Linked DNA regions of Astyanax mexicanus. The protein of the gene in region 1 interacts with the protein of each later gene in a pairwise test. Links are inferred from orthologs where the notes say so. Each region holds a gene or a part of one and is shown in the gene's direction. Other genes may lie near its edges. The genes, in order: pak5 and psmf1.

Region 1 (11,627 bases):
CTGTGCACATTCTGCCTGACCGGACCCGCGCCATTTACTGTCATTATTATTTATTATTTGAATCAAATTTTTTTAAAGTAAGTAGAGCATTAAAACTGAGCTTTTAAAAACATTTTTGGGCTGTTTGAATGAGCAAAATCTGTTTAGAATGATGTTAATTAACATTGCAACACTGAATAAGCATAGACCTGTTATTTAGGAAAAATGTTTCTTACGAAAAGATCCCTGAAAGATTAAAACACAAACAATGCGAACAATGATCCACAGCCTAAACATCGGTAAATTACAGAATGATTGTAATTACTGAATGAATTTCCTCTAATCTAATATAATTTAACATGGTTTATTAATATAAAATACTTTCTAAACAAACCAGCTTTTTAATGTTGAGCTTATAGTCTAAGTGTAAAAACATAAAAATTAAACATAAAAATGAATTACTATTAGAAGCTACACACAACCCTGCAAGTCAAGTGCATAACGCGGACAAGTGGAGGAGCTCAGTGTGCTCAGGCCAGAGCTGTTACTTTTCTATATTGTGATTAGCACATTATAGCTTTATATAAAAACCGATATCATTGAACACCCCTACTTTTCACTAAATCCCACCTTCACATACTTGTTATTAAACCCTTAACATGCATTTTTTCATGTGTGATAAAAGGGCGGGGAAATGGATATATTTCACTGCCCCTATTTTAGACCTCTGATGATAATTATCAACTTACTATACAATAAATGGACATGACCTTAATAATTATTATGTAATATAATATAATAATTAATAATCGTGATATTATCTATTGTGTTCATCTGTATGTTTGTTCACATATTTAACAGAGAAAATAATTTTTTGTTAGAGAAACGGTCTCTACTGTTCTTGCTGTGCAGTTTTAATGTTAGTGAGTGTGAGTTCAAAGTGTTTCATCCCCATCTTCCAAACTCAGCACAAAAGTACTGGATGGAGCACCATCATTCCTGAGATTCTATTTTTTTACTGCTCCACAGATCAATGCTGGGGGGCTTTATACCACTGTAGTCCATGCCTGGAATTAGGCATGGTGCCAATAGGTTCATGTTTATTTGCTCCAGAGAGAAATAAATAAGTCTCAGCTTCCAAGGGCTAATGTCTAACGACTGAACCTCATTCAGAGAAACTCAAGCAGCGTGGACTGTATCTCAAAATATGTCGCTGTGGGAAACATTTCAGATGTTTTAGATGGTTGTTCTCATGTTGCTGGTTGATGCAGAGAGTGTGTCTGTGGTGGAGGTACAGGACGTATATCTGCACTGCTAGGCCAGATGCCCCCGCAGTCCTCAGTCTCAGCAAGTCACAGCGGCCTTCGCTGGCTGCGTGGGCGTCTGTAAAAATAGCTTGTGAAGTGATAGAGGGGTGTGGTACCACTGCAGACTTCACACTGAGCTCCTGGGGCCTTGGGAGACACACCGGCCCCTTTAGAAACACTTGATAGTTTAAAGGATCTGAGGGTCTTTTGAGGGTCTTCACTCACTGAGGAGCTTTTAGGGTCTCGGGGGGTGGGCTCTGTTCAGTGGTGTCAGTAAAAATAGATATTGAGCTGTGTGTGTGTGTGTGTTTGTTAGCACAGGTTTCAGGTCACTGTTTAGAAGTTTTAAGTCTTTATTTTATAAAAGGTGAGAGTGAATCTTTAGGTTAACAAAAAGCACATTTTAGAAGGAATTAAACTGAGGCTGATTAATGAATCTGTTCATATTAGGAGTGTGCCACATCATATCATACACAGTATATTGTGACCCAGTAATATTGTCTAAAAAAATCCACATTGTGACAATGCATCTTCTTGTCTTGAAAGCAGTCTGTTATTTACTGTGGTTAAGGGTATTCTTTGAATCTTTGTGAAATTGTTTATGCTCTATCCTGTTTTAGTATCTGTTTAGTATTTTTGTATCGTGTATTTTTATAGTTATGTAATTTATCTATAGTAGCCCTGTCAAAAACCTCTGGAATATAATCAAGAGGAAGATGGATGATCACAAGACATCAAACCAAGCTGAACTGCTTAAATTTTTGCACCAGGATTGGCATAAAGTTATCCAAAAGCAGTGTGTAAGACTGGTGGAGAGCATGGAAGCAGTAAATAAAAATCAGTTTTCTTTGCGTTATTTGAGGTCTTGTCAATCTACCTGTACATAATAAAATGAGCAAAACTAATGATTTGAATTGGTCTTTTAAAATATATTTTTTTACAATTAACTGCCAGGGCTTTTAGGGAACAAAATGAATTAAAAACAAAACAAAATTGTAAAAAAGAAAAAAACAATCATATATTGTGCAATATATATATATATACAGCCCAGGAATATAATCAAAAGAAGATGGATGATCACAAGACATCAATGCATGAAAACTGTGATTAAAAACCATGGTTGTTCCACCAAATATTGATTTCTGAACTCTTAAACCTTTATGAATATGAACTTGTTTTCTTTACATTATTTGAGGTCTGAAGGGTCTGCAAATTTGTTGTTATTTCAGCCGTTTCTTGTTTTCTGCAAATAAATTCTCTAAATGACAATATTTTTATTTGGAATTTGGTAGAAATGCTGTCCGTAGTTTTGTAAAATAGAACAAAAATGTTTATTTTACTTAAACTCAAATAAAAATATGAACAATAATACTGCATGGCAAGAAACTCCAAACGATTGTGACAGTAACAGTGTGGACTAGAGACACAGAATCTGTTTTAAGTGACTGTAGCAGCTGTTTCTCTCCCTTTCTCTCTTTCTGTCTCTCTCTCTCTGTTCTCTCTCTTTCTGTCTCTCTCTCTCCCTCCCCTTTGTAAACCTCTCTTTCAGCTCTGTGTGACACACTTACTCTCACACACAAACAAATAGAGTAAAGAGGAAGCTGGGGTCCGCGCTTGGTGTCGGTGTCAGCCTCTGGTCACAAACCTGATGCGGTGTGTACGAACGCGTGTGTAAACGCACACAAGGTGCCAGTGTGCCCCGGGGCGTGAGAGGAAGTGGAACAGAGGGTGAGGATAGCGGGCATCTGCAGCAGGATGATGGTGTGGGCCGGGCAGAGAGGCGACTGCCCCAAGTGCCGGAGCTCTGGGCTTAGCCTGTCTGCAGTGGGATGCTGCCGTCGGCACTTTTTTTGGCCCAATCTCACGTCGGGCGCTTTCAGAGTGCGCATGGGTGAGCAGCCCAGGGCGAGGCCCTCACTGCACCTCCGCTGAGGAAGGGCCCGGGAATGCCATTCTCTCCATACATGTGCTGGATGACACTTTTATGGAAGCTAATGTTGTGCCGAGTGTGGCGATCTTTCCGGAGCCGTCGTTTGGGCAAAAGGGAATAATGAATTTGATACCAGGTAAGACTGTATGCAGTGGTGGAGCTTATTGTAGTTGTTGTTGTGTAGAAACCTTGTACAGTGCTAAAACTAAAGGTGTTAATAGGTTCTTAAGAGCAGTGAAAAGATGTGTATGAGGCTTTCAGACCACAACGATGACAGGTTACTCTATCATTTATTGTAACAGCTATTCTTCCCAGAATTACAGAGTTTTAGCTTAAATATAGAATATTATTGTTGGCTAATCAGGTGAGAACAGTTGTAGTTTGCAGTTGCAATTGTTTGTTTACTAAATGTCATTCATGATGTGATGACGCAGATGATGCATGTGTTCATTCATGCATTTAGTAACTTGGCAGTCAGACCACGCTTTAGATGACCACCTGTTTGGGTCAGACTCAGTTTAGACTGGCATTGCCTTTCAGGAATAGAGTGTCTTCCTCTCTGATTCTTTTGTAAGGTGAGCTTTCAAGTGTCTTTGAATGACCACACAAACACACACAGGTCAGCTAGTCCGTTCATTTCAGTCATGTGACCTTTGACATTTGATGTTCATTTAGCAATGTTATTATATTGTGAACTAGAGGATTATTAGGAATTCTTCTAGAGAGCCTGTCACATAATTCTCCAAAAAATAATTGTGAAAATGGTACAATTGTAAAAAATGCAATTACAAGTTACTTTTAAAGAGCAACGACCTTTTAATTATTGAGTATATTGTACATACTGAAAGTGTACAATATTTTGTCAGGTGTTAAACGTGTCTCACTATACTTTTATGCACAGGTAACCAAAACAATTGTTTGATCATTGTGGGCGAGTCGCTGTGCACATGCACACTGTAGAAGCGATGAGGCAACACGTTGAAAAGTGGTCGTAGGTTGCCAGTTGAATACAAAACCCTTATTGAGGGGGGTGACTATAGTTCTAAGGTTTGAACAGACTTGTGAAATTATACAGGAGAGAAGTTGTTCTGTATAAATAAAACTAAGAAAGTCAGTATATTGGTATGCTGGAGTATACTCGTATTTGTACTTGTATACTTTACATAAATGAGTGTAAATGTAGTAAAAATAATGGATAATTTTGAGGTGAGAATAAAATGAATAAAATGATTTATTGCTAGGGTAAATATAGGTTATGACCAAATATTGTGTGACAAGTTGATCATGTAATTATTGTGACTTATAGGCCAAGCAGGAATTGTGTTATTACATTTTTCCCATGCTTGCATATGACATTAATCATTTACAACCACATCTTAATATCTTTTTTTTTTTGTTCATGTCCCTCACTAATTTGTCAAAATGACGTTTGCTTAGATACTGCTGCCTCTATTTTTGTTTGTAAGTGACTCACATTTGTCATTAGTGTGACCTGTGGCCTAAAATGCCCACACTCATTATCACTAGCCACTGTTGGCATTCTTTCAACACTGGATGATGATAACAGTGATAAGCACACACACACGATGAAGTGCGAAAAAAAAAAAAAACTTGTGAATTGTGATCTGATGATCATTTACTTTGGTAACACAGGGTTATATCAGTGGTACAGAAGAGAACACATGGCCTGAATCAGATTTAAAAAATTGGTTCTAAATTACAATAAAAAAAACAGGAAAAACTAATTGTACCTTTTTTACTAGTCCTGTACTCAGTCTTAGTAAAATTCTCCTTGCACAGTCTGTGCATTTCTTTATTCAGTTAAGAGTGCTATGTGTGCTGAATGCCGCACTAAGGCCCGTACTTTAGAGGATGTACAGGGAATGGAATGGTCTTATAAAGTTGCTCCTGGAGGCCTGAGAGTTATCAGCACATGTGTACAGGAGCCTGAAATAGCCACAGGGCCTGTGCTGTGAGCAGGGCTGTTGGGGAAGGGCCAGACCCGCTCTGTCCCACACTGCCACAGTGCTGCTCTGAGCGGGAAACGCCTGCCGTCTCTCAGATGGCGACAGATGGTTCAAGGGACAAACAGAACTTAAGGATCTGTGCCTAGTTCCCCCTTTCAGTGCCACATCTCAGACCCATGGCTGTTGCTGAACATGCTGGACGAGGACATTAACTCCTCTATCTCTGGCCTGGCTTTGGGGCCTAGTACTGGCTAATATCGATAGGTAGGTATGAAAATATTTGTGTTATTACAAAAATATGGAAGTATCTTAATAGAAGACGATATTTAAAGTACAGATATTCACAGGTATATACACATTCTTTGTATACACATTCTTTGTAGTTTTAAGTTAAACTGTTTTTTTTCCTGCAATAATCATTTTATAGTGATTGATTTTTGTTCCAATCCTTTCAGCTCTCAGACAGTAAAATTTTTTTCTTAATTTTTTAAAGTTCTTAAGAATTGTATTGATAATTAAATATTAATTTTCCACTTTATTATATAGCAGAGAATCAGAGCCTCTGATTGGCTCCATTCTATCCTGCCTGCTCCTCACAAAGCCCTAAGGAGACATTAGAGCTGATATTAATTAAAGTTACAAAAAAAAAAGAAAATTACATAGGTTATTTCTGTTGTCATGGCAACCCAGACAGCACTGATTTATGGAATATACAATGTTTCCATTGATATGATGCATGTTTTATCGGTTGATATGGACAACACTAATAATCACCAGTATGAAGTGTCCAATTCTTAGAGACCTATAAACTAATGTACCAAAAGTCATGGCACAGTCAGTAGCATCATGATCCATGACTTTTTCCTTGTCCTATGGAAGCTAAAGGGTGCTGCACTGATCTGTGGGATACGTGTGTTGGACCCACTGCATTGAATGTGGATGTGATTTGTGCCAGAGAACTGTTCACATGGACAGTTTTAGCCAGACACTTCTTGTCACGATCATTGCCTCTACTGCACTGTCCACTGTGGGCAGTAATGTCTTCTATTATTTATTACTACTAGTCTGTAGCACTCCACCCCATTACATTTCATTTTCCAAAACAGATTTTGTTTGTGGCCCGCCATGTAATGGCTTGGGAAAAAAGCTTGAGTTGATACTTAAGCTTCTACAGAATTATTTTAAACTGTAGTATCTAAACTTCTACCCGAGTAATAAATGTCAATACTTTTGACACCTTTGTAGAGCTTGCTTGGACTTGCTTGTATAAAGAACATGCTGGCCAGTGTTTATAGTGCAATTCCATGACTTTTGGAATGTCAGTGCATATAACTATGAATTTTGCAGTGTGACATTACTCCTTGATCTGGGAATAGACTCATAAAATAACCACCAGACGAGCAAATAAAATCTTTCTTATGGCACCTGCTGTCTTAACCTTGGCTTAATTCAGTGTTTCATTCAGAGAGGCAGGGTTTTGTTCCTCAGAAATGTGCATGGTGCAGGATTGCAACACAAACAGGAGGTTTCAGTATTAACTCTCAGTGAATTTCCTTCTTCTGTCTATAAAATAGAACTTTTGGACTTCCCAGTGCACGAACCAACCAAGAAAAGAAAAGCCTACATTATGCATATCCATGAGCTCATCCACTGAGGGAATCCTCCACAACCCTCTAGATTAACATTTCATTCAAAAACATGCATGGCAGTTCAATCGCTTTTCTACCTAAAAGCCTGCAAATGTAAGTGGTGTATGCAATTAGATTCAGTGATGGGTTTGCGTGTGGTTGACTTTTTACTGACAGCAGAGAAAAAAAGGCTCCCAGTGCCCTGCATTTCCTTTTTTTCCCCTTTAACTGTTGGCCCAGGATGCCTTAAGCCCTCTCTAGTCTGTGTAATCTCATTCCCAAGACGTCCATACTCATCTAGGTCATAGGTTTCATTTGGAGTATGACTGCAGACAGCCCCTTCACTCTCATCCCTCTGCTCATAATCCCGTCCAATCCCTTAAGCGTGGCGCGTTTGCGGAGCCGTGGCACAAGCAGTGCAAACCCCGGCACATTAAGGGCTTGTCTGGACGTCCATTGTCCAGAGTCCAGCCAAGCTTTACTGTCAAGTTTCGGAGTCGATTTTTATTGAGATGTCATGTCAGGATTTTGCTGTGATGTCAGGAATTATGACAGCAGGGCTCCTACAGCACGTCTCATCGCAGTGTTTGGACTGGGGCTTCAGAGACCAGGCTTCTGCACTGAAGATGAAGACTGAGTCAGGTCTATATGATCATAGATTTTGCCATGTACAAAATATGTCAATGTCTTCTCAGTGGAATACTGAAATATTTGCCTAAAGCAGTCGTTCAGTCAAGTGTGCGATTCTTTAGTTTTGATTTGGGGCTATTAGGCTAGTGTAGCTAACGTGATCACCAGTTTGCTCTCTGCAAATGATCACATAGCAAAAAGTCTGCTGCCCACTGTTATTAAACATGATTTAGAGCAGGCTCAACTCTCCAACAACAAATTAGGACTAAAGGGCGTTGGTCCTAATAAACCCAGCCGGCCAGATGACACTCTTTCAGCTCCCATTCACTCCTTTAGCTGCCCATTAAGTAAATCGCATAGTGGGAGGGGGATAGTCTTAGCTGATAATCTACTCTGTAACCTTGGATTAAAGACACTTTCAGGTCTCTGGGTGAAAAGTGTGTACTTATTCTGGTATACTGTGTTTATGTTGTTTCACCCAGACTTTGTTCTTTGGCTTTTTCTGGATTTTATTGGCTTTGGCCAATGTTTGGAGAGGGCCCTTTAAATGGACAGATAAATAAACAGCAATAGGCCACATTGGCAACACTTAGTGTGGGCATGAGGCCAAAGGAAGAAAGGGCTTTTGGCATGCCCGCATTGCGTAGGAGATGAGGTGAGGTGATTGACAAGTCAGCAGAATACAGATAAGGGCGCTGATAGAGGGGCTGGGAAAGCAGTGCTGTGCACAATCAGCTGTTATTTTGGGTCGATGATACATGTGTAAGGTATGAGAACAATTACCAGCCAGGTCTGTAAGCATTTGAATAGTGACACAATTTTGTATGTTCATTTACACTATGCAAGGTTTAAAAAAAATAATTGTGCTTCTTTTAGATGTGCAGTAACAATTTCAGCCGTAATAATTCAATCCACATTTTTTAAAGGCACACTATACATCATTTGGTTGATGTATAGAGATTCCCCCTATAGACTAAAAGTTCACTGTGGACTAGCCATGCGTGATTGTTTTGAGCACAACAGACTGGCAAAAGGGTTGAAAGTAAAATACAAGTATAAAAAATCTAATCTAAATCTAGGGTCATCAGTAAATGCTAGTCTAGGCAGACTTATTCATTCTGTGAGTTTTATGGTTAGCAAACACGACTAGATCTTGTACCCGTGTTTCTAATGTAAAGCAAGACTGAACTGAGGGCTACTCAACTTTTGTTCACTCTGTAATGACTAATTTAATTATCTAAAACAGTATAAAATGAATTGATTAACTAAAAAAATATTGTATAGTGTGCCTTTAATGGATCGTGTATTTCTTTTTAAAACCTTATCCAGTTCTTTAGTTTTGTGGTAACAGAGACCTATTCTGCTGTCCTTTAAACACTATTAACAGACATGATTTACAGCTACCGCAGTTAAAAGCATCTCAAATAATAACAAAAACAGTCTGCAGTTTGCCTGTATTCTGCCATTTTTGTCCATACCATCAAAACCACTGTTGGGTTGTACTTGTGCACGGACAGATAATTAATATAATTCTGTAATATCTACTTGGGGGCTCAATTGATCAGCCTTGTTTTTCCAGTCCATCTGGGGGAATTTGCAGTCAACAAGTCAACAAATTGATCTCTTTGTAATGTCCCTTAAACTATTCCTGAACCATTTTTAACTATTTTTTTACTGGCTGAAAGAGCCAGTTTGCCATGAAGGGCTTTGACATCCACATGGATGTTACAAACTCAGGGTTTTCCAGCAGAACTCATGTGCAACTCATGTGCTCAGTGTTGGAGTTTCCAGAGGACAGGGGTCAGCATGGGAACACCCACTAACTGTGAAACACATACTTCTGCTAGAACCAATATTTGGTAACAATTTATGCTACATTCCTGTGTGCAGTGTGACGTGGTTTACCAGATGTTTTGTAGTAAACACTACATATCTGGAACACAAGACCTGCTGTTTTGGAGATGCGCTCTGAGCCAGTCATCTAGATATATGCTAATATTGGTTTTAATTTTTTATCAGTATTCAGTGTCTGCTGTATATAAGATGTTTAGTGTAGAATTGTTTCCATATTCTGCATGGAAGTTAAAAAAAATGCATATAGTGATTCAGCCTGACAAAATTTTAATATAAGCATTCGAGCAAATATATATATATTTTTTTTGAATGACAGAACTACTGTGATTTCTGTAAGATTTCTTTAATTGTTTTAAATAACTACACGTGGGAAATAATTCATATTAAATTACCCCACACTTTTCATCACTGGCTGATATTTTTTTGTACTATTTAATAATTGATTTCTAAATTGTTAAGGCTTTGTTAAGGCTTTCCCTGTGCACTCATGATCTGAGATGATATGTATATGATGTTTATGAAGCCTGATGGCAACAGTCCAGCTAAACCTTTTTAATAGTGGAGAAGCCCTGAGTGCTTGTACTCTGTTCCAGTGCAAATGTATGCATGTGGCATATTCAGATTAGAGCTTCCAACTTTAGCGTCATCAACTGTGTTTCCAGAGCCTGGTTTGTTATCATCATAAAAAAAATCAACCTACTTTAAGGGTTAACTGCCTTGACTGAACACATGAGAGAAATTGTGTAGTACTTGGGCTAAACAGTGTATAGTTTCATTGTTATTGCAGTGTTGTCCTTTGCAGCGGAGATGTTGCTGCAGACTGCAAGTATGCAGTATGCAAATGAGGCCTTTAATACATCACATGTTTTAAGTGTGTTGTTTATTGTGAGCATGCTGACCAATATTGGAATTTCCTGATTTGTTATTGTAGGTATTTTGATGAACCAAATTTCTCACATGATCTAACAGAAATAATTATGTTGCTCAGAATAATCCAGATTGATTTGTTTAGTGAAGTAACATAAAGAGGTTACCAGTGTGTTTATGTGCATGACCAGGCATATCTAAGTCCTGAATATGTAGCAGTATAAGCAAAATATACGTTTTTATCTACTTTTTTGAAACTTCCAGCCAGGAAATCCCCTGCTTGACCCGTCTCTTCTCCTCCTCTGCGAAGACTGTACGTCTGGCCTCTTCAGAAACCCCCTCTCTCCTCAGCACCCCGCTCTCTACTGTTTAAAACCACTAAATCATACCCAACGACTCCCCTGGAGCTAGAGTGAGCAAATTGAATGCGAAAGAGTCCATTAATCAGCTCTATGAGCTGCTGTGTTATTTTTCACTTTCTCGCTTACTGAGAGCCGTCCACACTGGCAGCTCTCTCAGGTGTTGCTGGGAGACAGAGCACTCCATTCATGCAAAACACGCCGCCGCTGTTTAACACACAGGTTGAATCTTGGGTGCTTCTCAGATATGCCCATGGGGTCGATTTCAGCAGCCGATATAAACGCTTGGACATGGATTAAGCTTGGTGTTGGACTAAATTGAAGTAGCAAAAGTGATTCAGCATGAGAAATTGCTTGTCCTTGTTGATCTCATGTCATAGAATGTAAAATTGCCAAATGTAAACTGCCTGGCCGAGTCGCCACTAAGTAAATGATGTGGGGTTGATGCTGCAGTTGGTCAGGTCTGGGTTCAGCAACAGTATGTGCTGAAAGAATGAGGTCAGCTGACAACCTGAATATACTGAATATAGACCAGGTTATTCCATCAATAGATTTTTTCTTCCCTGATGATACGGGCATATTCCAAGATCACAATGTGAGGATTTATGGGGCTGGAATTGTGAAAGAGTGATTCAGGGAGCATGAGATCATCATTTTCACACATGGATTGTTCACCACAGAGTCCAGACCTTAACCTCATTGAGAATCTTTGGGATGTACTGGAGAAGACTTTGTGCAGCGGTTGTTCAGACTCTACCATCATCAATGCTGCAAGATCTTGGTGAAAAATTAATGCATCACTAGATTAAAATAAATCTTGTGACATTGCAGAAGCTTACTATTATTATTATAGTACTATTAAAGTACTACTGTATGTGGCAATGATTTTCATATTTTACACTTTTCATAAAATGAAATACAGGAAGGTTATTTTGGCACCTTAAAATATGAAAGCTGCAAGTTTAAAGACTATTTTTGGGCTACATAAAATTCGACTCTAAAATGCTGCTCTAAGGAAAGACTAAGATAAATGTTTATCTGATGTCTGTTTTGAAGCCAAGCATGACCAACCTGATTTTGACCCAAATTAAATGATGTTACAAATA
Region 2 (11,664 bases), on another chromosome or scaffold:
GGAAAGTATCCCGATTCATTATTCTGTATATACTTTTGATGAAGTTGAAGTATCAACTCAAGCTTTTTACTCTTTAAGTAAAAGTGTTTAAAAAAAGTACTGGTTTCAAAAGTTATATAAAAAAAAAATTCAAGTATAAAAGTAAAATTAATGTAAAAAGGAAAAAATAAAGCCATTAAGAACAAAAGACAGAGATAAATATCCAAAAATACAGGATTTTGTATTTCTAATTTAGAGTTTGTAAAGCTTTTATAAAACACTAATAAAATATAATTTAATAAATGTTTTTTAAATGCAAAATATTAATTTGTAATCTGTTTTTGTTGTGGTGTAAGTGGTTGGTAGCATTTGCAAAAAAGGCACAGAGCCATGAAAATAAAAATAATATATATTTTTTATTTATATATTCTATCTATTTATGTACTTTTTAAACTAAGCCTTAAAAAGAGCTTTTTGAGGCCAAAATCCTAATATTTTACATTTACATTAAAATTAACATTTTATCCAGAGGTTTTGTGGTCAGCTTTGTTTATTTTATCAAATATAATATGATTATGATAATCATGAGAATGATTATCTTCATTATATAAAAGTCCCTCCATGCAGATCTGTTTTAACAGATAACAAATGTTTTATACAGAAGCTAAAATGAGATGAAATGGAAAGAATAGAGGAAATAAACAGCTTTATTGTGTAATTAGGTCACAGTGGCTGTGTAAATCACTGTGACTGTTCTCCAAACGCTTCAGAACTTTCCACTTAAATTAAACAGTCAGTAGATTAAACTCTGTTCTTTAGTTTTTATTAAAGTGATGTTTTAATGATAGTAAAATCACATTAGCTGAGTGTTTGTATTTATGGAGTGTAGATGTTTGTGTTCTCTGTGTTCTGGAGTGAATGCATGTGTGAGAAGCAGGTATTCTGTTTACTGCAGACGGATATTCGTCGTTTCTGGGAATCTGGTGGAATAAATTTGAGGCAGAAATGTAACATAAATAAACTGGTTCATATTTTGGATGGTCAGTTTTCACTTTGCCACTGTTGACAGATTTTCTTTTATCAGTTTCTTCAACAGCTTAGAAAATCTTTCAGCATTAAATCTTATATTTTCTCATATCTGTCTCATTTACTCATTTGTACAGTGTGAAGATATAAGTTATGGTTCATTTTATGACAATTTTCAGTTTTCCCTCAACATTTATTTGGTATTTACTTATGAACTGTATAAAAAACACAATCCATCAAATTGAAAAAAAAATCATGTTTTTAAAAATATTTTTGCCAGATGATTTTAAAAACAATACTAAATAAAAAATCAACAGTTTTACACCAAACCCTCACTCAATGAATCTGTCTTGCTTTATTTTATTACTACAGTTTAATCTCTACTATTATTTCTATACTAAATAAATAAATGCTGTATTATTATGCTGTAATTGTCATGGTCTCGTCCTGTTTTATGTCTCTCATGTCTGTCTCTGTGTTTTCCCGCCGCTGTCTTCTGTGCTCTCATCTTCATGTGTTCATTTGTAGCTCCACCCCCTTGTTACCTGTTCCCGGGTGTTTCCTGTTTTGCTGTCCTCTTCCGTGTGTATAAATAGTCCCTTTGTTTCGACTGTTTCTTGTCGGTGCTTGTGCGTATTATCTTCAATCAGGTTACGGGTTTTTGTAGTTTCTATGTTTTCCGTGTTTATTTGTTGCTTAAATTTTAATTCTTGTTTAATACGGTAAATACTGGCAATTGCATCTGCTCTCTACGTCTCCTTACTACTCTGTACCTGACAGTAATCTTAACTGTAACAGGGAGTTTACTCTGCATTATAATTATAAATATGAGCTTTTATATTATGGAATTGTCCAGTGTATTCCTCCTCTACTGGTCCATCCATGGACATGTTCTTCTCAGGTGGAGAGCAGATGTTCCTCTTACTGAAAAATTGGACGTTTCTGCCGAAGAACAAAACACTAACGCCCTGATTCAGAGTCTGGGAGGTGAAGCTGACGTCCTGCAGAGCGAGGAATCCTCACTGTCTCATCATGTTTGAGTTATATCTCTCTTAGTATCTGATAATAGAGGTGAAAGTTCTTCTCTTTGGTCACGTTTGGAGGTTTGGAGGTTGTTCTTCTCTCAGGGCGCTGAGGGCAGCTACCGATTGGACCCTCAGCCGAGCAGAAAGCCGTTAATCAGCTGAGCTGTAAAAGAGAAGCGCTGATTTGATCGGCACCGTGTTTAAAGGATTCCTGAGGGCAGACATGAAAGAAGGAGGAGTGTGAAGAATGTACAGAACTGAATGGTATGAGATGAGAGGTGGAGACTCCTGGTGTTCACAGCAGGAGGACGAGTACGGGTCGTTGTGTGTACTGTATGTACTTCTCTTTTTCTGTGTGTAAAAAAGATGTGCATTCTTAAAGATGATGTGCATCACATTCAAACCACATGTCATATGGATTATTCACATATGTGGGTTTTTGGAGGTTGTATGAACATTTATTTATGGAATTTAGCAGATCTTATTCAGAGTGATGTGCATTCTAGTGGGTGTAAATAATATTAAAGGGCCTGAAGATGAGGGTGAATTAAAGGTGATTGAGGCATTTGTTTTTCTTGACATTAATAGATCAGATAATAAATAACCAAAAAAATTAATTTCTGTGATACTGAAGATGTTCACTTTTCTCTCAATTTAACTAGGCCAATCTCAGAGAGATCAAGGCCAATTGTGCTCTTTCGGGGCTCTGGCAGCTGATGGTGAGCTGCATGACCAGGATTCGAACCATCATAGGGCAGGAACACTCTGCGCCAGGCTATATTTAAATGTTGTCACTTCTTATACGAACCTTCACAGCGTCAACCAGCAGCTCAGTTTCCTCTGCTGAGAAGAGTTTGTTGGACACGTCCAGGTAGCTGCACCGTTACAATAGCAATCCACCAAAGTCAGAACTCACCTGACTCTCTTAAAGAGATTGATGAGCAAGAGACACTCTGATTGGTTTATTTCACGTTACACTCAAAATTATTATTAAACCACACTTATGAATAATTAACCGAATTAGTACATGACTTTTGCTTTGCATTTAGAGCAGAGCAAGGTGTACTTTTCCTGTCGTTATGATAGCAAAGACACACTGACGCACCCTAAATCAAGCTGCACGGTGCACAGTTTACCTATAGATCACTAAAATAGGGCCCAAAGTCTTTGTACCAGTTCATATGTATATGTATATGGGTTAATTTAAAGTTCTGCACAGCTTTTAAATAGTGCCGTAAAGATCCTGCAGTAGATTTATGTGTAGTGCTGCTTAATTAATGAGCTGGGAAATATAATTTTATAATCTTTAGGGATTAGAGAGTTAACGCTCTGTATTTCCAGGCTTGGCGTCTCTCAGTGGAGACGGAGAGAAGAGCTAGTTTAAAGGCTTTCCTCTACGGTGCAGAAGAAGTTTATGAGCTTAAGACAATGATTAGCTGAGATATACACACCCGGGGGTCACTCCCAAATCAGGACCATGTGCTGCACCTGGACTGGGAGTGTGTGAGAGTGTGTGTGTGTGTGTGTGTGTGTGTGTGTGTAAGTGTGTGTGTTTGTGTTTAATGCAGGAGAACACTTGTTATAGTTGAGAGTTGCACCCTCAGCTATTAAGTTATTAAGATAATTTATCTGGCGTTGATTTTATTATTGATTATTGATCATGCTTTTCTTAGAAGATCCTCAGATGTTTTAATCTCAGTCTGGCGGAGCTGCAAGAAGGTAACCAGAAGGTGAAAATAAAACAAAATCACATCAGATATGAATCAAATGTTTATTTTAGATATATGCCAACAATTCTGACACAATAAAAAACTCCATATCATGATGTTGTACAGTGGTATGAAAAAGGTTTGGGGACCCCTGATCATTTTTTATGATTTTCCCTTATAAATATTCAGTTGTTGGGATTAGCAATTTAAATTAAATATAGTTAAATATATCAAATAGCAGAAGAACACCTGTTTGCAGAAATAACAGCCTCTAAACTCTTCTTATAGCTTCCAATGAGAGTCTGGCTCATTTAGTTTAATTAAGTCAGAATTATTGCACACTTTCTGTAAATCCTATGAACTTAATTTCCCTTCTAAAATATCACTATGTTCACCTGCTTATATGACATACATATTAAACTGAAATTGCTGATCTAAATATATATATATATATTTATAAAGGGCAATCATGAAAATTATCAGGGGTGCCCAAACTTTTTTATAGCACTGTATTACATATATTTTAAGTTCCTTTGAAAGGACAAATATTTTGTTCATGTAGATAAAAAGGTCCATGTTCACATAATAACACACATTCATTCACATTGTATTTAATGTTTGATGTATTCAGTCGTGTCCTGTGTGAAGTGGATGCTCTGATGGTGAGGTCAGGTCATTAGGCGTGAATCACAATCCTCACTATTAGAGAGATTCCTCCTCCTGTAGACGCGGCTCAGCCGCTCGTTACTGCACGCTCGGGGTCACGCGGTGGCGTGGGGCCGGTCTGGCGTTAACGTGAGAACCTGCAGCTCGTTTTGTATTATAATGATGCATCAGGTCTGGGTTTCGTTAGGGACCCGGCTGGAGACCCTCAGACATGGTGGCCCCATTCTTACTGTTATAAAGCACAGAGTTCTGCAACTTACTTACAGACAGAAATATAACATAGACTGAATCAGATTCAGATTTAAGATCTTAGTTAAAGATTAATAAAGATTAATAAAGTCTGATTTCACTTTTACACCAGCTCTGTTTGGTCCGAACTCTTCAGTTTCACAGAAAATATCAGGAGTAAAAGATGCTACAAAAACAATTAACACAAATTTGCTTTCACTAAAAAGGGTTTTGGTCTGTATTAACTGAGCCATTGTCTGGTTTTCTTGCTAAAACACTTCATTAAACATTTCATGTTTAAATAAAGGGATCAGAGTCTGGAGGAAGAGTGGAGAGACACACAGTCCAAACTGCTCAAGGTCTAGTGTGAAGTTTCCACCAATCAGTGATGGTTTTTTTGGAGAGTCATGTCTGTCATCTGCTGCTGTTGATCCACTGTGTTTTATTATCAAGTCTAAAGTCAGTGCAGTTTTGTTTTCCAACAAAATCTTACAGCACTTCATATCTTACAGCTTCCCTCTGCTGAAAACAACTTTTATAAAGATGTGGATTTCATTTTCCAGCAGGACTTGGCACACTGCCCACACTGCTCCCAAAGTACCAATTGGTCTTATATAATATTCTAATTTTCTGATTAGAACACTGATTTTTGGGTTTTCAGTGGAGGATGGAGGATGTAGATGTGATTCACTCTTGATAAATGGTACTAAAATCAGTCCAGGCTCTACAGTCAGTAATAAAGCTGGAATAGAAGCTCAATAAGGAGGAATAGTCTGAATAGTTTGGATCTAAAGTTCTCAGGGTTTGGCAAAAGTTCACAAAGGTCTTTATAAACACTGTAAATTAACATTTCTATAACAAGGCCTGGGTCGAATAGCAGAGCAAGCTTCTGAAATTAACTTCTGAACAATGTGTTTCCAATGGAGCTGAAGTTAAAGCAGATGGCTGTGTTATCATTCCTGCTGGTTGGAGAAAGTCAGGCGAAGCTCCATGATGAAACTGGAGACCACATTCTTTAATGATTTATTTCAGGAGGGTTAAACCGTGAGAGGAGGAGGAGAGAGAAGAGCTCATCTCTGTCTATCTGTGGAAAATCCATGTTACTGTAAACAGGGGCTGGTTTAGTTATTAGAGGTCTGTCTGATATCACTGTGATCCAAACACTGATCTGCAGAAACTAAAAGACTGAACATTAAAGAGTAAGCTGAGTGAAGCGGCCTATAAATCATATTAATCATTGTGTGTTTATATATTTTCATTAACGTTAACATTAGGTATAGATTTAAATCATATAAACGACTATTCTGACTCATGCTTAGTCTTTACACACCGACAGATATTCATTAAGACTTTATTATAGGCCAGTATTAATAAGGCAATAAGGCTAAATGATACCTGCATAAACCATTCATAAGAGTTTTAGAACATCCCTTTGAACATCCTGGCTGAATATTCCAAGAGCCTCAGCCAATAAGTAAATAAATAAATAAAAAGATGTCAAAAATCATCATCATAATGGAAGTGTCTCTTGTTCTTTTAAAATATATATATATATATATATATATATATATATATATATATATATATATATATTTTACTGTATATTATATTATATATAATATTTTATTATTTTATTGTATTCATTTTATTTTTATATAAAAAAAATAGTAAAAAAAGGTGTCAAAAAGTCGAAAAATGTTTGTTGCAGAAAAATATAAATACACATATTTTTATGAAATACTATATTATGCTTTTAATATTAAAGGAATATAATGAACAATTAGCTATTTGCTATTTTAAATTCTTTGTTTAATTGTTTTTATTTTATTTATTTAGTTTTTTTAGTTCCATTCACCCCATTCACTAAGGACTCTCCCGCGGGCTCTAGCGGCCTACAGTGATATGAAGACCCGGTGTTGTGCCGAATTCAGCACCCCCGCCCGAAAAAGCATCCCCCTTTCGGGAGCGCGCACATAACTGTCTACTTGGTTTTAACTTAGTTTTACTTAAAGAATGGAAATACCCAATATACTGTTATAACCTGTTATAAGATAAATATTAAGAAATAAAAATAATCATGTCACCCGCAGCTTATCCCTAGTGAGGGTGTTTTTCCTGGTGGAGGGTGCTTGAATTTGGCACAGCACCGGTGTTCTGTCGAGTTGTGCTACCCTATCAAACCGTGCTACCCTTTTGTGTATATTTAAAGGTAAACATATAAAAGAAGCACAGTATTAAAGCACTTTCCCAGTAGAAGTTTATGTACTATTTTATTATAATCTGCTTTTGTATTTTTAGAGAAATTATTTTTATTTTTAATTATTGTTGTTATTATTATTAATAGTCATTATACTTTGACGGTGTAATGACAGTGTCGTCAGGTTGTTAAATGCACAGAAAAAAAACACGGGAAAACATAATTATTATAAAACACAGGAGAAGTAATAATAAAATGTAGGTTACCGCATGTAACGTAGTGTCTTTAGGAAGCACGTATCGACGGGTAGCATAATTCGGCACAACACCGGAACTGAAGTCTGGCGGCTGCGTGTTCACTCCGGACCGGTTAAGCGGGGAGGCGGTGTGATGCAGCAGATGTAAACAGATCAGGGCTGTTTTGGTTTCGGTTCTGGAGGTTCTGCAGGTTTTTGCTGGGTCATGGCGGGGCTGGAGGTTCTGTACAGCGGGGTTTTGGGCTCTGTTAGCTGCGCTCAGGACGCGGCGGTGTGTTTTGTTCACTGGGAGATTATTAAAAGCGGGTTTAAGTGTTTAGGGACTGGAGATCAGGTGAGTTTTCTCTAATAAACTCAATAAAACTCAATAAAACTCAATATAAATACAGTGAAATATGATTAACACTGTCTCTTAACCCTGCGGCTACTCACTCTTTCTTATATAACGTTATAATACATAACTCCAGCTGATTAATTTATTGTTTATTAAGTGTAACGTTAATTAAGTGTAGCTCAGTGACACAGCACACTAACGTTTTTTTGTCATAATAATATTCTTTTATTGTTCCTTTTTTAACCAAACATAACATTCAACACCATTCACACAACATATACAATACAAAGCTACACCACAAACCTAATTCACACATTATACATTTACACAGCACAAAATAATTGATAAGATAATATAAAATAAGTTAAGAAAGCATAAATTGACAATTGCAAAAAATATATATATACATAATCACAATATTTCTTAGTATTTTAAAAGATGTGTAAAACTCCTTATAGCACTTTCTTAGTCATTTTAACATCATTATTCCACAGAACAGCGTGTGAATCTGTGTGTGTTTATCTCACCGTATTATTTATTTATTATAAGCTTAGTGCTGGAGATTAAACTAAACTAGCTAATTTTTTAAAAGTGTAAGTGAATGATTTGCTTTTTTATTGTACTGTTAATAATTAATCATTTATGGTGCAGAACTAGTGATAACATAATTATATCAGCTTCTTCATTGGTGTCTTCTTCCTTAAAAAAAAAAAAATATATATATATATATATATAATTTGTATGTTTGTTGTTTTTCTCTGCTGAAAGAATTCCAGCTTTTGCTGGTAGCTGGTTTCACATTGTCTAAGCTGATGGTCACATTGCAATACTATATATATATATATATATATATATATATATATACATTAATGTGTAATTATATGTAAGTATTACACAGCTTACAGTTCCTCTCTCTTTCCATCCTGTAGCCTCGAGATGGAGAGAAGAAATCCGAGTTGCTTCCTGCAGCCTGGAACGCCAGCAAAGAGCTGTACACCCTGCGCTACAGATCCAGCGATGATAAATCTAACCTGCTCCTGAAGGCCATCACTGTGGATTCCACCCTGATCTTCAACTTCATGGTAAAATCTAAAGAACATGAGAATTCCTGAATATTTAACCTGCTTTTCTGAAGTTTTGTGACCTCTAACCTCTTTATATATCTACCAGGACTCCGCTACAGACAGAGTAACAGACCTGACCATCACTGTTTCTGATTATGTAGATGAGAACAGTCTGCAGACGTTTGACAGGTTGGTTTTAAATGCATTTATTCCACACTAATTTATAAAGTTTTACTGTTTATGTGCTTTTGATATGTTGTCATTACTCTGTAATTAAATTTACCCTAAAACATGCATACAATTCATACAGCATAATGTGCGTAGCAGATTACTCTCAGATCGCTTTTATTAGTGTTTATGAAGGAGGGTTAATCTACAGTTACAGTAGATACAGAATCACCAGCAAAGAGTCATTTAAATGGTGATCATAAGCTACCTCAAATTACTGTAATTAGTCTAAAATTCTAAACCATCCAAAAAACGAATTATTTGAAAGTTCTTACATCTCCCTTATCTGCTGACCTGCCACAGTCATTAGTTACAGATCCCTCCCTCAAAAGAAGTCTGCTGGATAATCCTGCTGTGTACTGTCTGAGGTTCTCAACCAGCAGAACGAATTTGAAACGTTTCTTCAACTAGAAAATCTAGTGGGCGGGGCTCTAGTGGGGGTTGACAAGTGAGGGGTGGAGCCAGGGTGGTTCTATGCAGGTTTTCTTATTGTGACATCACAATAAGGGAGGAGCTAAACGGCTGATAGAAGAAAACGTTTCGTACACTTAATTCTTTCAGCTGATTAACAGGAAGCGGATGGATTGGTTTTTTTTTTTATGTTTGGAGTATTTAAATTGTTTATAGAGGCAGAGAGACACTAGCGGAAAAACAGAAACACCAGAACTTTTTTAACCCAGAATTTCTATCCTTCTTTAGTGTGTTTAAGAACACAGAAGATCTGGTGAAGAAGCTGAAGTCCTCACTGCTGCCTGCAGCAAAAACAGAGAAGAAAGAGAAGAGAGAAAGACCTCCAGCTGCAGACACCCGACCCAATCCCGACCACGACCCTCTCCGCATCCCCTCCAGAGTTCCCCCCACCGCTCGCCCCCCAAACTGGTGAGTAAAGAGTGTGCATCATTTTTTACACTTTTTTTTGCATGTTCTCATTATCGCTGTGGAATTTGATCAAAATGATCTTGAATTTATAACATTACTGTATTTTTTGCACTATAATGTGCACTTAAAATCCTTTAATTATCCCAAAACTCATCAGAGCTCCTTATAATCCGGTGCTCCTTATGTATGAATTCTATCAGTCAGGTATTAAGGAGCAGTAAAGACACTCCACTGAAGTACAGAGTTATACAACCATGGCTAGCCTTAGAGGAAATCTGGATACTGGATATTTACTCACCTAAATAAACAGTTTTCAGGAGAGAAATCTGTGTAGATTAACATCCAGCACTCGTTTCACTTTAAAAATAATGTGGTTTATAATCCGGTACGCCTTATATTCCGAAAAATACGATATATTATTAATTAAGTCATAATATTTTAAATTCAGTTAAGCAACTCATTTACTCGTTTTGCTTCAACTAGGTAATATTAGTTCAATATTAAGCTATTGATGACAGTAGTAATAGTCCAGTAAATCCCAACATCTTTACTAAAACAGAAATCACAATAAACTCAGTGACCGAGTTCTATTTGAATAAATCTCTATAGAGAGAGCAGAAGCTTTGATTCTCATTATTGGCTAAAAGCTCCTGACCTTGATGGTTCTCCAGTTACAGCGCACTGTGGTTCCTGTGGAGAGCTCCCATCACCACATTCTGCTATCAGCTCTATCTCTGAGTGTAAAAGCTTATAAACGCATTGTTGTTCCAGACCCAGGCTTTAATAGAAATAAATGTGATTAAATGAGATATTTGACCAATTACAACACATTCCACTGTGACTGTGGGTGTGTTAATGAATTAGAGCATTTATAAAAAAATTTATGGATTCAGGGCTTGTCGTTGTGTCTTTGGTATTGTGAGAGAGCAAAAGAAATACTCCAGAAATGTAACTGAACACACCTAATTTCCAGACCACCACGCCCATCATTAACGGCGCAGGCACAAGATGTGAAAATAAACTGTTGACGGGGTGTAAGATAGCGAAGAGCATCACGACGCACCTTATACAGGGTGTATGATAGGCAACCCTGCCACGTGCACCATTGTTGTTCAGTGTTCTCCTTACGGTGGACTCATGAACTTTAACATGAGAGAGGCCTTCAGTTGCTTAGAAGTTACTCTGCAGTCCTTTCTCACAAATATGTAATATTGGATCATTTTCCTCATTAAATAAATAAGCACGTATCATATTTTTGTCTCATTTGCTTAACTGGATTCCTTTTATACACTTTTAGGGTTCACAAACTTTCAAGCACCAGTGTAGATGGATAGATAAAATAGTTTAATTGAATTATTAGATGTGAAAGAAGGTCAGAATAAAGATAAATGAGAAATTTAAGAGTGGAGGAATAAATGACTCATACAAAGGAAAGATTTGACATTCAGCATTTGAAGAGCTGCAAGGCAGTAAGAGGCACAAAATGTTATTTTTACCAAGAGAGGGGAGAAAGAAAGAAAGAGAGAGAGAGAGGGAGAGAGGGGCGGAGGAGGAGGAGGAGGAGTGTCGTCCTTAAGGACGTGGCAGGAGGCCAGAGAGGAGTGTGTTGCTCATCTTCAGCTTCACTTTGCCGCACTGACCCAAACCCTATCAGGTTCTTTATGATGTCAGAGGCTTATCAACACTGCTGCTGCTGCTGGCCCAACCCTGCAATATACAGCTCTGCAAAAAAATAAGTCCACTTAATGTGAAGAGTTTCTTTGATTTTACCAAATTAAAAACCTCTGGAATATAATCAAGAGGAAGATGGATGATCACAAACCATCAAACCACCAAACTGAACTGCTTGACTTTTTACACCAGGAGTAAAGCAGCATAAAGTTATCCAAAAGCAGTGTGTAAGACTGGTGGAGGAGAACATGATGCCAAGATGCATGAAAAAAAACTGTGATTAAAAACCAGGGTTATTCCACCAAATATTGATTATTTCTGAACTCTTAAAACTTTATGAATATGAACTTGTTTTATTTGCATTATTTGAGGTCTGAAAGTTCTGCATCTTTTTTGTTATTT

The links.
Region 2: the proteins of pak5 (region 1) and psmf1 interact in binary tests that used the Homo sapiens proteins (3 or more experiments, as listed by UniProt). The two-hybrid records come from large-scale screens. The link is inferred for Astyanax mexicanus from reciprocal best matches to the Homo sapiens genes PAK5 and PSMF1.

What each region holds. Positions count from the first base shown.
Region 1 is NC_064408.1:73,056,337-73,067,963, reverse strand, and holds the start of pak5 (serine/threonine-protein kinase PAK 5), read left to right. Parts: upstream 1-7,333; 5' UTR 7,334-7,347; coding exon 7,348-7,453; intron 7,454-11,627.
Region 2 is NC_064412.1:57,501,579-57,513,242, reverse strand, and holds the start of psmf1 (proteasome inhibitor PI31 subunit), read left to right. Parts: upstream 1-7,184; 5' UTR 7,185-7,291; coding exon 7,292-7,420; intron 7,421-8,349; coding exon 8,350-8,502; intron 8,503-8,590; coding exon 8,591-8,673; intron 8,674-9,411; coding exon 9,412-9,591; intron 9,592-11,664. UniProt on the Homo sapiens protein: Plays an important role in control of proteasome function. Inhibits the hydrolysis of protein and peptide substrates by the 20S proteasome. Also inhibits the activation of the proteasome by the proteasome regulatory proteins PA700 and PA28.